3 linked regions of the Ovis aries genome follow. The protein of the gene in region 3 purifies or fractionates together with the protein of the main gene of each other region. This does not show direct contact. Links are inferred from orthologs where the notes say so. Each region holds a gene or a part of one and is shown on either strand. Other genes may lie near its edges.

Evidence for each region.
Region 1: the proteins of AP1M2 (region 3) and AP1B1 purify together in Homo sapiens (affinity purification with mass spectrometry; 3 studies listed by BioGRID and IntAct, counting the BioPlex papers as one, with this or other methods). This does not show direct contact. The link is inferred for Ovis aries from reciprocal best matches to the Homo sapiens genes AP1M2 and AP1B1.
Region 2: the proteins of AP1M2 (region 3) and AP1G1 purify together in Homo sapiens (affinity purification with mass spectrometry; 4 studies listed by BioGRID and IntAct, counting the BioPlex papers as one, with this or other methods). This does not show direct contact. The link is inferred for Ovis aries from reciprocal best matches to the Homo sapiens genes AP1M2 and AP1G1.

Annotation. Positions count from the first base shown.
Region 1 is NC_056070.1:68,659,816-68,664,012, reverse strand, and holds the start of AP1B1 (AP-1 complex subunit beta-1), read left to right. Parts: upstream 1-1,322; 5' UTR 1,323-1,469; exon of another isoform or gene 1,470-1,532; intron 1,533-3,487; 5' UTR 3,488-3,537; intron 3,538-4,197. UniProt on the Homo sapiens protein: Subunit of clathrin-associated adaptor protein complex 1 that plays a role in protein sorting in the late-Golgi/trans-Golgi network (TGN) and/or endosomes.
Region 2 is NC_056067.1:38,790,406-38,794,559, forward strand, and holds the start of AP1G1 (AP-1 complex subunit gamma-1), read left to right. Parts: upstream 1-1,307; 5' UTR 1,308-1,742; exon of another isoform or gene 1,743-4,154. UniProt on the Homo sapiens protein: Subunit of clathrin-associated adaptor protein complex 1 that plays a role in protein sorting in the late-Golgi/trans-Golgi network (TGN) and/or endosomes.
Region 3 is NC_056058.1:12,931,475-12,935,120, forward strand, and holds part of AP1M2 (AP-1 complex subunit mu-2), read right to left. Parts: intron 2,925-3,646; coding exon 2,794-2,924; intron 2,684-2,793; coding exon 2,536-2,683; intron 2,431-2,535; coding exon 2,304-2,430; intron 1,618-2,303; coding exon of another isoform or gene 1,612-1,617; coding exon 1,469-1,611; intron 1,389-1,468; coding exon 1,317-1,388; intron 1-1,316. UniProt on the Homo sapiens protein: Subunit of clathrin-associated adaptor protein complex 1 that plays a role in protein sorting in the trans-Golgi network (TGN) and endosomes.

The sequences.
Region 1 (4,197 bases), on a different chromosome or scaffold from region 3:
ATTATAATATATTATATATAATGTTATATACTTTATATATTATATTATAATATATGATTATTATATATAAAATACATACAGACATATATATGCATCAGTTCAGTGTTTATATATAACACATATTATATATTTATATATTATATATTATATTTCTAATATATTATTTATATATTATATATAATATAGTATAATTTATAATACATAATATATATTGTACATAATGTAGAATAAATAAATGTATTATGTATTATAATTATATATAATATATAAGTAAATATATTTATATATACATAAATATATAAAATGTATAATATAATATTATACATTTTATAATATTAAAAGACTAGTGATAAAGTGCACAACTGTAGGGGACTGTTTCGGAGAACAGTGGTGCCGTTCATACTGCGCAATTCCATGCAGATATTGTAAAACACCAAGTAGAAATGTATTTATTGTTTTGGGAAACAATAATTCACCAATTCACCAATATCTTGGTGAATTAAAAATACTGAATGGATATATCGAGTCTGGAAGGATATTCACCAAAATCTTAAAAATTATTGTCTCAGGGTGGCAGGATTGCAGGATTTTTTACATAGCCTTTTGCTTACTCGTATATTTCCATAATGCAAATATTATTTTAGATGTTTTTAAGAAGATGATCAGAAATTATCTAGGAGGAGGAGAAAGTTAATAATACCAGAGCTGGGAGTGAGATACCTATAGCAACCCTGGCCTGGCCGACCCAGCAAAACGGGAAATGGAACTTTTAAGTTCTCCTTGGAGGTGTGAGGTTTACGCGGAATTCCCCGAAGGGCTGCTTCAAGCGGTAGGTTAGACTTACAGCTCTAGTTTAACTCTTCTCTTCACAGGTAAGTGATCTTGAGCAACACTGGCGCCTCTCAGAGACTGAGTTTTCCTGTTTGTAACACAGAAGCGAAGCTGACCTCAAAACAAAGAAAAATAGACCTCAAAGTCTCTATGATCTTCTCCATCTCCGTCATGTTATATAGGCTCAGTTCAGCTCAGTTCAGTCGCTCAGTCGTGTTCGACTCTTTGCGACCCCATGGACTGCAGCACGCCAGGCCTCCCTGTCCATCACCAACTCCCGGAGTTTACTCAAACTCATGTCCATTGAGTCGGTGATGCTATCCAACCATCTTGTGGTATTTTTTGCTTGGCGGAGCAGCAACGTGTCGAGGGCGGAGTTAACTCCGACGCCCCGCCCCCTGGCCCCGCCTCGCTGCCACCGCCCCCGCCCGGGTTGTACCCTTGACCCCGCCCCCAGCCTGTGCGTCCACCGGAAGTGCCCGCGCGCGGGCAGCTCACTTCCGCCTGGCAGGTGACAGCCGCGGGGCTCCGAGCGTCCGGCGGCGCGGGCGCACCGGGAGAGCGGGAGGACAAGGCCGCGGACATTTTCCTGTCGCGTCGAGCCGCGCCGTGGCGTCAGGAGCCTTTCGGACCTGCGGGTGAGGAAGCGGGGAGCCTGGCGAGGCCAGAGAAGAAGTGGGGCGGGGAGTCGGGAGTCTGAGGTGAGGGATTTCTGGGGTCAAAGGTCACGGAGAGTACAGGGCGCTGGAGGGTCTAGAGTGGCTTCCCAGGACGGGAGGAGGCAGAAGGGCTGCGGGTTCATTCATTCGCGCCCCCTTGGCCGCCGGCGTGCACCCCAGCCGTCCCAGGTCCGCAGTCCCTGCCGGGGCGCCCTCCCGTAGAGACTCCTAGACTTAGGCCCAGGGGAGCTTGTGCCTGGCCTGACAGGAAACTTCTCTTCGGGTCTTGGTTCCCCCTGCACACTCAGCGCCGTGGCTGTCCTGAGGCCTCCTTGTCGTTAAGGGCCTTATCTCTTTGCCAAGGTTCAAAAACAGAAAAAAAAATATGAAACGGCCTGGCGCCACCGCCTCTAGGGTGGGGTTAAACAGAGGATTGGTCTGTCCCTAGGCGCCTCACAGACGAGGTAACTGGGGACCCCTGTAATAACGCCAGAACTACTGATGGGAATGCTAGCTGCTGGTTATTGAGCTGTGTGCAGGCACCGTGCTTAGAATGCCGCATTTAAACTTCCCAGCAATCTTGGTGAGGTAGCTACTATTATTATCCCCATTTTATCCACGAAGAAACTGAGGCACAGAAAAGTTAAATCACACCTGTAAGGTCAATCGAGTAGTATGGATGAATGCCAGGGTTCCTACCTGGGCTCGCAGGGACCTGCAGCGTGCTGAGACTGAAGCAAGGTTGGCATTTAGGGGCTGTTTAATATCTTTAGCCGCCATTAAATTTATTTGCATCTATATAAAGATATATTTCCCTGGAGAAGGAAATGGCAACCCACTCCAGTATTCTTGCCTGGAGAATCCCATGGACAGCGGAGCCTGGTGGGCTGCAGTCCATGGGGTCGCAGAGTTGGACATGACTGAGCGACTGAACAATAGCATTTAGAGATGTAGCTTGCTTTCTTCTCATCTACCTTCCTAAGGAGCATTTGATTCCCTTTCTTTAGGATGAAATTAGGCCATTGCTATAACTGATTTCTGTTCAGGGTGAGAAGGGGCCTTTTTCCCAACTGTTGAGAACTGCGAGACATAAAACAGTCTAGCCATGCAATGAATTTAAGAATATGCTGCACCTCTCTTGAGAGTGGTCAAGCTGCATTCTTTTTCAAGTAAGGGGAGGAACCACATGACCCCTAGGGTATCTTTTGGCCCTAGGTTCTTGAAGAGCATTCCCAAGGCAAGGACCTGAGTCTCTGAGAAAAGTGCAGGTCCCATGCCTTCTTGACTGGAGAACACACATCTTGCCTGGGAGACAGTGAGGTGGTTTCATGGCCAGAGGATTAGGTCTTGTGAGTCTGAGCTTTACTCGGTTGCAGACATTCACGTGCTGCAGTTCGGCTTCAGTTTCCCTGATAGCAGCACAGACCTGCTGACTTCCTACACACTCCGGGGTTTTACAAGCCTTAGTGAACCTGTGAGGATTTCCACGCACTTATAAAGAAAGCTGAGGTATAAATATTACTGTGCAGTACCTGTTTTTAAACTCCACTGTCTGTTTTCCTAGTTCCATTGAATTCACAGAAACTTAATATTGTCACCTGATCCCCATCCTTCCAAGGGAGGATTTGAGATAAAGTGACTCGTCACAGATGGTAGGAACAGGAGCAGCGCTCAGAGTGTCTGGCTCCCTGTCCTGAGTTGAGCCCACCAGGCTCCTTCAACCCCTCAGGGCAGCTTCATGAAGAGTGGCTTCACTAGTGTTCAAAGACTCAGGTCCCTCAGACTTTGTATAAAGTTTAACTGTTGAGTGTAGTTTGAGTAGAGGCTTCACCTGAGTGACTTGGAGAGCTCAGTGGTGTGGTGGAAAGAGCCTTCCTTGTCCCCCCATCTGTCAGCCGTGGATTCTCCCCCCAGATCAGCAGCTTCTTGGTAGCGTGACCCAGAGCCACCTATCCCTCAGCTCTACAATAATACCACCACCTTCACCTCCCCCTCAGCAGTGACTCGTGTGGAAGCTGGACAAGGACTTTGTGCAGAGTCTGTTGTGGTGAGTGCCTTGACCCTAGGCAGTTGATGTTTCCTGGGGGCTGGTTTTGGGGGTGTTACTTCTCTCTGCAGAGTCCTTTGTGTACACAGGACCTCTCCCATCCTTCTTGTTTCACTTCCTTAAAGTGTTTCAGAACAAGTTCAATCTGTTGATCCTGCTAGCTCTGGGCTTGGACTTTCATCTTTCTCTAGTTATCCTTGAAGCTGTTGCATGACTTGCTTGCTTACTTCCCGAAAACCCCCATTCTTGGCACCAAAGTGTGATGTGCTAATGGTGAGCCAGCATGGCTTGGTTATGAGTTTTGAGCTCCAATGTGTTTCCAGAAATCAAAGGGGCTTCTGTTACTTGCAGGTATTTCTTTTTCTGAATAGGTCTTTTTGCCTAAGATAGATCACTGATAAATTTTCACAGCCCAGGAATGATTTTTGTGTTCTTTTTCTCTCCACACAGAGAGGAATGAACAGCTCCAGAGAGAAAATATTAATTAGACAAGTGGGGAATCTTTTAAAAATAATTCTACTTGAAGGGACTTCCCTGGTTGCCTAGTGGTCACGAATTTGCCTTGCAATGCAGGGGACTTGGGTTCGATCCCTGGTCAGGGAACTAAGATCCCACATGCCGCAGAGCAACCAGGCCCACACTCCACAACTAGAGAGTCCG
Region 2 (4,154 bases), on a different chromosome or scaffold from region 3:
CCGGGAGAAATATCAATAACCTCAGACATGCAAATGACATCACCCTTATGGCAGAAGGTGAAAAGGAACTAAAAAGCTCTTGATGAAAGTGAAAGAGGAGAGTGAAAAGGTTGGCTTAATGCTCAACATTCAGAAAATGAAGATCGTGGCATCCGGTCCCATCACTTCATGGGAAATAGATGGGGAAACAGCGGAAACAGTGTCAGACTTTATTTTTGGGGGCTCCAAAATCACTGCAGATGTTGATTGCAGCCATGAAATTAAAAGACACTTACTCCTTGGAAGGAAAGTTATGACCAACCTAGACAACATATTAAAAAGCAGAGACATGACTTTGCCAACAAATGTCCATCTAGTCAAGGCTATGGTTTTTCCGGTGGTCATGTATGGATGTGAGAGTTGGACTGTGAAGAAAGCTGAGCACCAAAGAAGTGATGCTTTTGAACTGTGGTGTTGGAGAAGACTCTTGAAGTCCCTTGGACTGCAAGGAGATCCAACCAGTCCATTCTAAGGGAGATCAGCCCTGGGTGTTCTTTGGAAGGAATGATGTTAAAGCTGAAACTCTGGTACTTTGACCACCTCATGCGAAAAGTTGACTCATTGGAAAAGACTGATGCTGGGAGGGATTGGGAGCAGGAAGAGAAGGGGACGACAGAGGATGAGATGGCTGGATGGCATCACTGACTCCACGGACGTGAGTCTGAGTGAACTCCAGGAATTGGTGATGGACAGGGAGGCCTGGGGTGCTGCAATTCATGGGGTCACGGAGTCGGACACAACTGAGCGACTGAACTGAACACAAATTTTCTCTTTTTACAATGAGGAAACTGAGACCCAGAGAATCTAAATGTCTTGTTCAATGCCAAAGGTTGACAGGTGATAGTGTGCTTGAAATCCATTCTTCTGTGACATCCTCTATTTTTATAAAATGTGTTGCAAAGATGACATAAAACTTCAGAATCCAAGACTACTTGGAGCATGATCCTAAAGTTAACCTACACAGAAAGCTAAGGTCTGAAAAGTGATAGGTAAGAATTTGGGGTTCTGGTGGATCAGGACCAGCTCGGCCAGGCTCAGTATTCTCCGCCTCTACCTGCTTCTCCTCCCCATTTCCTCCGCTACCTTGCTAGCCCCACCCTTTTCAGGTGGCCCCGCCACTTCCTGGCAGCCCAGCTCCCACCCCACCGCAGGCGGAACCAATGTTCGTGGGCTCTGGGGTCCACCGGATCTTTCTCGCTCAGACTCTCCGCAGCGGTGACTCGGCAGCGGCGTCTCGCGTCATCAGTGACAGCCCCGATTCTTGCTACGCTTTGCGTCGCTCTTCCAGGAGCAGTCACCTCCTCCTTGGCAAATAGTCCTCGGTGGGGTCCGAATTCTTGGATAATAGGAGAGGGGAAGCAAGAGAAGTTGCAGTCTGGGAACGCGGGACCGACAAGCAGAGAGAGATAGGGCCCTAAGTTTCTGTGATAGTGTGCAAAGTTAGTTAAAAACTCCTTCCCACCTAAGATCCCTCCGCCTGCAGTAGCGGTGGTGAGGCCGAGGGAGCCGCCATTTTGGATGTTCGGTTCCTGCTGCCACTGCTGCCACCGCCCCCGGAGCTGCTGGTTTCATTCGAGGTTTCGGGCCGGTGAGTGTCAGTCGCGGCGCGAAGAGAATACTTCTTGTTTTACTCTTTGCCTGCCGGGAGCTCTCGGCCGGAAGTTTCCTGTCTATCCCAGGGGTCCGGTCCCAGATCGTGGAGGGTGAGAAGAGAGGACAGAGACTGGGCCAGGAGGGGCCGGGAGCACAAGGGTTGTTCATACTTCTTGAGGGCCAGCCCCGAGGCCTCAGACCCGGAGGCTCCGCACGCGGCTGCGTCTGTGTTATGGCGTTGCCCGGCCGGTACGGGCCTCCTTGCACCCATTGACTTTCTCAGGCTGCACTCCTCCTTTGAGGACTCATTGAGAGAGCCTGGGGTTAGCGGGGCGGGTCCCACCTCCGCGTGTCTTCTGTTTGCCACGTATCAGTGTTCTTGTATCTTGCATCCTAGTCAGGTCTTTCGTGAAACTCTCTTCTGTATTTCCAAATGCTCGGTTAGTTAATCGTTGTCTGCATCCGCATTGCCGTTCTCTTTGAACTGGACGTCGGCCTCGCCTCTCTCTAACCTTCCAACCAACTTCTTTCCCAATTTTCTGGGGTTCCCCCCGTCTTTTTCTTAAACTCACCTGTGAATGCATTGGTTACCCTTCTCTCAAAGTCCTAATCCTGCAGGCATCAGTTATTAATAATTCTCCCGATTTTCTTGGCGGCTTGACAGAGTCGGGACCGTTGGTTGTGTTTCTCAGTTAGGGTTTGGTGTAGGAGATTCGTCGAACCACTCGCTCAAGAGTGTGCTTCAACAGTACGTGTTTATAAAGCTGAGTAAAGGGTTTTTGGGGGGAAGGTGGTAGGAAGAGGCTGTCAAATATTTTCTCATTTGTATTTTCTCATCCCTTCTTGGGCTGAACACGTAGCTTCTGGGTACTTTTGGACACTTAACATATTTTTCTTAATGCTGTGTATCCCTGCCCAGGGCAGTCTGCCTCTGAAAAAGGATCTTAGTCTGACATTGGTAGAAGGGAAAGTAACCTTTTTTAGATACTGTAGGGATTAGTTAACAGAAGAGAGGAGTGAAGATTTCTTAGTGATTTTAACTTTCAAGTGGTTTGTACAGTAGTGTTCTTCGCTGATTAACTCCGGAAAAATACTTGGATTGACTTCTTGTATGTTATTTTTCTGGGGATAGTTGAATTTTAGATATTCACTTTTACTGTTCCCCATAATGCTTATCATACTGTATATGCTTTAACCTTTGCTTTAAAAATATAGACTCTCCAGACCCATAATTTCACCACTTTCATTCTATTCTTGAGGTATGTTTGCAGTATAGTATACTTGAATAAAAAGCATTTCACTGTAATTCACTGATTATTTCCTATAATTCAAGTTAGATGAGTGTGACTGAGTCACCTCTGTTTCACCTCAGCCTGGGTTTTCACATCTGCAAAAGAGAGATGTAAATTATTTGAGATGGTACCCTAGTGACTGCTGAAACTTAAATTTATAACTTGAACTTGACCAAATCTTTCAATACTTGAAATCCTAATTCCTGTATAAGTGCATTATTCTTATCAGGTTATTATCAGGTAGATAAATTCCTGTACTAGTCAAGAATGTTTCATTGTAAATAGTGTTCTTGGTATTTGTTTTCAGGAGACTTTCCAAAAATGTTTTATTTACTGTTTGTATATTTACTTTAAAGCCATGGAGTCTCATTTTGGTTTAAAGGGCTGTCTAACAAGATAAATGGAATCCTCACTCATATATGTGGGCTTCCCTGGTGCTCAGATGGTCAAGAATCTGCCCGCCATTCGGGAGACCTGGGTTCGATCCCTGGGTTGGGAAGATTCCTTGGAGGAGGAAATGGCAACCCACTCCAGTATTCTTGCCTTGGAGAATCCCCATGGGCAGAGGAGCCTGGTGGGTTGCAAAGAGTTGGACACGACTGAGTGACTAAACACAGCAGCACTCATATACTGAGTATACCCTTGTAGTTGCTACTGAAATGTTCATTTCTGAGTTACACTATCAAATACTCCCAATATTAAATATTGGGAGAGCTATCAGATGGGTGTTAACTTAGTTCATTTCAGGGTATTAAGTACTGCTATTTAAACGTCATTCATTCTTGGGTAGTTTGCATGCAGTTGGAGAAAGCATCCTTTTGCCTTGCAAATGATAAGTGTTTATTTTAGTGCACTTTCGAGTGATCATACTTGAATGTCTACTTGGTCTAAGGGATTGTTGGGGTTCCATACTTGAAATAAACATTGTTTAGGAAACCTTAATTTCTTTTGGAGCAGTTGCTTGTTCTTTGATTTGTTTCACTGACAGCAGTTCTAGATTTGAAGATGAATTTTAGAGTGAAAATATAAAGTACGAAAATTGTCAGCAATGTTTTGGTGATATTTCATCATACTATTTATTTTTAAAAGTGGTCTTGAGTCGAGATTAGTCGTGTGCAAAAACAAAAACTTATGTTTTTATGTGATTAGTAATAATACTATGCAGATTGAAAAAGTTGAAGGAATATTTTCCAAAAGATTATTTTTAATTAAAAAAATGGAATTGGGAAA
Region 3 (3,646 bases):
TGAACCAGTTCCCCTGAGACTCTAAGACTGGGGAGCAAAGTTAAATCTGAGAACACAGACTCTTGAGCCAGGCAGCCCCAAGTTCAACGTGACCCCTCCCTTCCTAGATGAATGACATCTTAGTTCTTCTGGGCCTCTTTCCCCATCTGTAAAGGGGGCTAAGGACTTCCCTGGTGGTCCAGTGGCTAATACTCTGCACTCCCGATGCACAGGGCCCAAGTTAAATCCCTGGTCAGGGAATTAAAATCACACATGCAGTATGGCGTGTCCTCCACCATCCCCCCAACTTTTTTAATTAAAAAAGAGATTGGGAAAAAAAAACTTTTAAGGGTGGGGAGGGACTAATTATATGTTCTGGAGAAGCTCTTGTTTGGGGGACTGGGGACATGCACAGGGCTATCCATGGCAATGTGAACCAGAGAAGCCAAGAAATGAAAACCATACATGCAAAACACAGGACAGAAGATTCTCCTGGTGGAATAGTCTACAGGCACCGAAACGGATGCCCTGCGCTGCAGGTCCTGGGATTCCTCTTAAAAGTCGACATTACACAAAGAAGGCAAATTATACAAAAAAGTCATACAGCAAGAGTTCACGGATATAAAGGTCAGAGACTGGCAGAATGAAGTATTTGTGCTTACAGATGACGGTGGCAAAATTACAAACAATAGCAAAGAAACGATTTACATGGAATTCCAAATTGTGACCACCTGTGGGCAAGGGTTGGGGGAGCCATGGTCGGGCAAGGGGCAGGTGGGGGTTTAGAGGTGCTGGTTGAACCAGGCACATTCAATTAAGCTGCATGGTATGATATGATGATATGGTATGACAATGATAACATTGATATCTAACACACTCTATGGTTTATATACATATATGAATATAAATGTAAATTCATAAAAAGTAAATTTTGATGTAAATGTAAATTTATAAAGTAGTATGAATGTATATTTTTTAAGTAAATTAAGTAAAACAGATCATGTGTCACACGATGGTGGTTCAGTAATAAGAGAAGAAAACAGAGCAAAGAAGGGAGGTGGAGAAATCAGGGAAGGCTCCTCTTAGGAGGTGACACTGAAGCAAAGAACTGAAGGAGGCGAGGGAAGAGCCAGGGGGATATCTGGGTGGCTGGGGGCAGAGTGCTCCAGGGAGAGGGGATAGTCAGGGACCATGCCTGGCATGTTTGAGAACCAGCCAGGAGACCTGCGTGGCTGGAAGGACGTGATGATTGGGGAGGGAGGTGGGAGATGTGGTTAGACTGCTGAAAGGGTAGGAGGGGTGATCTGAGCACTGTAATTGTTACCCCGGGGGCCCACCTTGACCATGATCTCCACGCGGCTGTGTGAGAATTTCTCAATGACAGATTCAATCCAGATCAGTGGCTTGACCTGCAGACAGAGGAAGAGGGAGTTCTCCAAGGCTCTGGGGTCAACCCTTGCCCCCAGCCAGGGGCTTGACCCTGCCTCACCTGCGTGCTAAGGCGGTAGGACATGAGCTCAAAGTCACCATCAGGCGGGATGAAGGAGATGGTTCGGTCATTGTCAAAGCGAGAGAGCCGCACGCACTGGTGAAATTTCACATCCTCCAGTTCCACAGACTTGTTCTTGCTCCCTGAAACTCAGAGCCGAGTTAGCGGGGTGACACTGGAGCCCAGGGCAGGGTCCTTATCCTTACCTTCCCTGTCTACTGCTACGATCACCCCCATATTACAGATGAAGAAACTGAGGCCTAGAGAGGATGAGTAACTCACCCAGGGTCACCCAGCTGGCCAGGAACAGAGCTGGGATCCCCAGGGAATCAGGCCCTTGCTGTCAGGATGTTATCCTGTGGGTGTTAGTCGCTCAGTTGTGTCTGAATCTTTGTGATCCATGGACTGTAGCCCACTAGGCTCCTCTCTCCATGGAATTCTCCAGGCAAGAATACTAGCGTGGGTAGCCATTCCCTTCTCCAGGGGATCTTCCCAACCCAGGGATCGAACCCAGGTCTCCTGCATTGCAGGCAGAGTCTTTATTGTCTGAGCCACCAGGGAAGAAATGTAATGCTATTCTGTCTCCTACTCCCACTAGAACGTCAGCTCCGTGAGGGCAGAGATTATTTTTTCTTTTCTGCCATGTCCTTGTGCCTGGCACTCAACAATGAAGCAGAGTTGTTTGCATTAAGGCACGAGCAGCTGCAGTACTGGTCAAGACCAGTAGAGGGCAGGCGAGTACTATTTCAGAATTGACTGCAGGTCTCCGGATACCACCCACCCCAGATGAGGCGAGGTCTCAGGCTCCCCCGCGCGCCCCCTTCCAGAAACTTACGGCCAGTGAGCTCGAAGAGTACACGGTCGTTGAGGCCCAGCCGCAGCTCTGGCATTCCCGACAGAAACACCTTGAGCTTGATAGTGCCCACAATCTCGCTCAGCAGGACACTGCCGTTGGCATTGACCTGAGGATGCAAACGTTGGTGATGTGGGAGGCGGTTAACAAGCATAGGGCTCCCTCTCCTGGCCCTTGGCTGTAGCGAGGGTGGGGCAGAGGTGTGGAGGCTCACCAGCAGGTTAACGGACTCTATGACATCGATGAAGACCTCATTCTTCTTGTACTTAATGCCCTCCGAGCGCCAGGACACAGCATTGGTGACAGTGGGTGGCACTCGTGACTTGCCCGTCTCCAGCTTGTTGCCCTGCTGCGTGATGTACCTGGCGGGGGGGCCGGGAGATGAGCACATAAACCCAAGGATACTTCCCTGACCCTCCCCAGGTTTCTTCCACCCATGGCCCACACTGTGGCTGACCCCCGGCCCACTCACTCCTGCAGGATCTTGCTGTCTGTGGTCTGTGGGAAGCCAAAGTCCATGAGCTCATCCAGCAGTTCGTAGACGATGACAAAGTTGTCTCGGATACTCTCCTCCTCCAGCTCCTTGAAGTATTCAGAGAATACCTAGGGGTGCGAGGAGACCAACACCCACAGAGATGCGGCTGGTGCAACTCTTGGGCTGGGTTCCCACTCATCCAGCCAGCCACCCAATAGGCAACTATTGAGTACCTACTGTGTACCAGTGTCAGGATATTAACGGTGAACAAAGCCAACAAGGTCTCTGCCCTCCTGGAACAGTCTTGAGGGGGAATGGACAGGTAGGTAGTGGAACTAATATTATCCAACGTGTAGAGTGCAATAATGAGGAAAACAAGTGAAGTAGGAACCCAGAGGCAGGGAGGTCCAAGAAGACTTCCTGGAAGAGGGATTAGAAGGGCTCAGAATTTTGTGTGTGTGTGTGAATCATGGGATTGCCGTGTATCTGGTGATGTTAATGGACCCACCTCAGAATAAGGTTTGTAAATGCATGAAATAAAAGATATACACACAGACAAAAAACAAAAGACACAATATGGGAATTCTCTGGCACTCCAGTGGGTAGGACTCCACGCTTCCACTGCTGAAGGCCCAGGTTCAATCCCTGGTTGGGGAACTAAGATCCCACAAGCCAAGCCATGCAGCATGGTCAAAACAAAAACAAACCAAAATAACCCCACAAGATGGCAAAGGAAAACTGTTACACTACACAGAAATACATCTAAGTTCTTGGATTCCTTGAATTCCATCCAGGGGCCCTTGGGACTTGGGGGACCCCCCCCAGACGGGAGCCCCTGGGAATTAGCAAG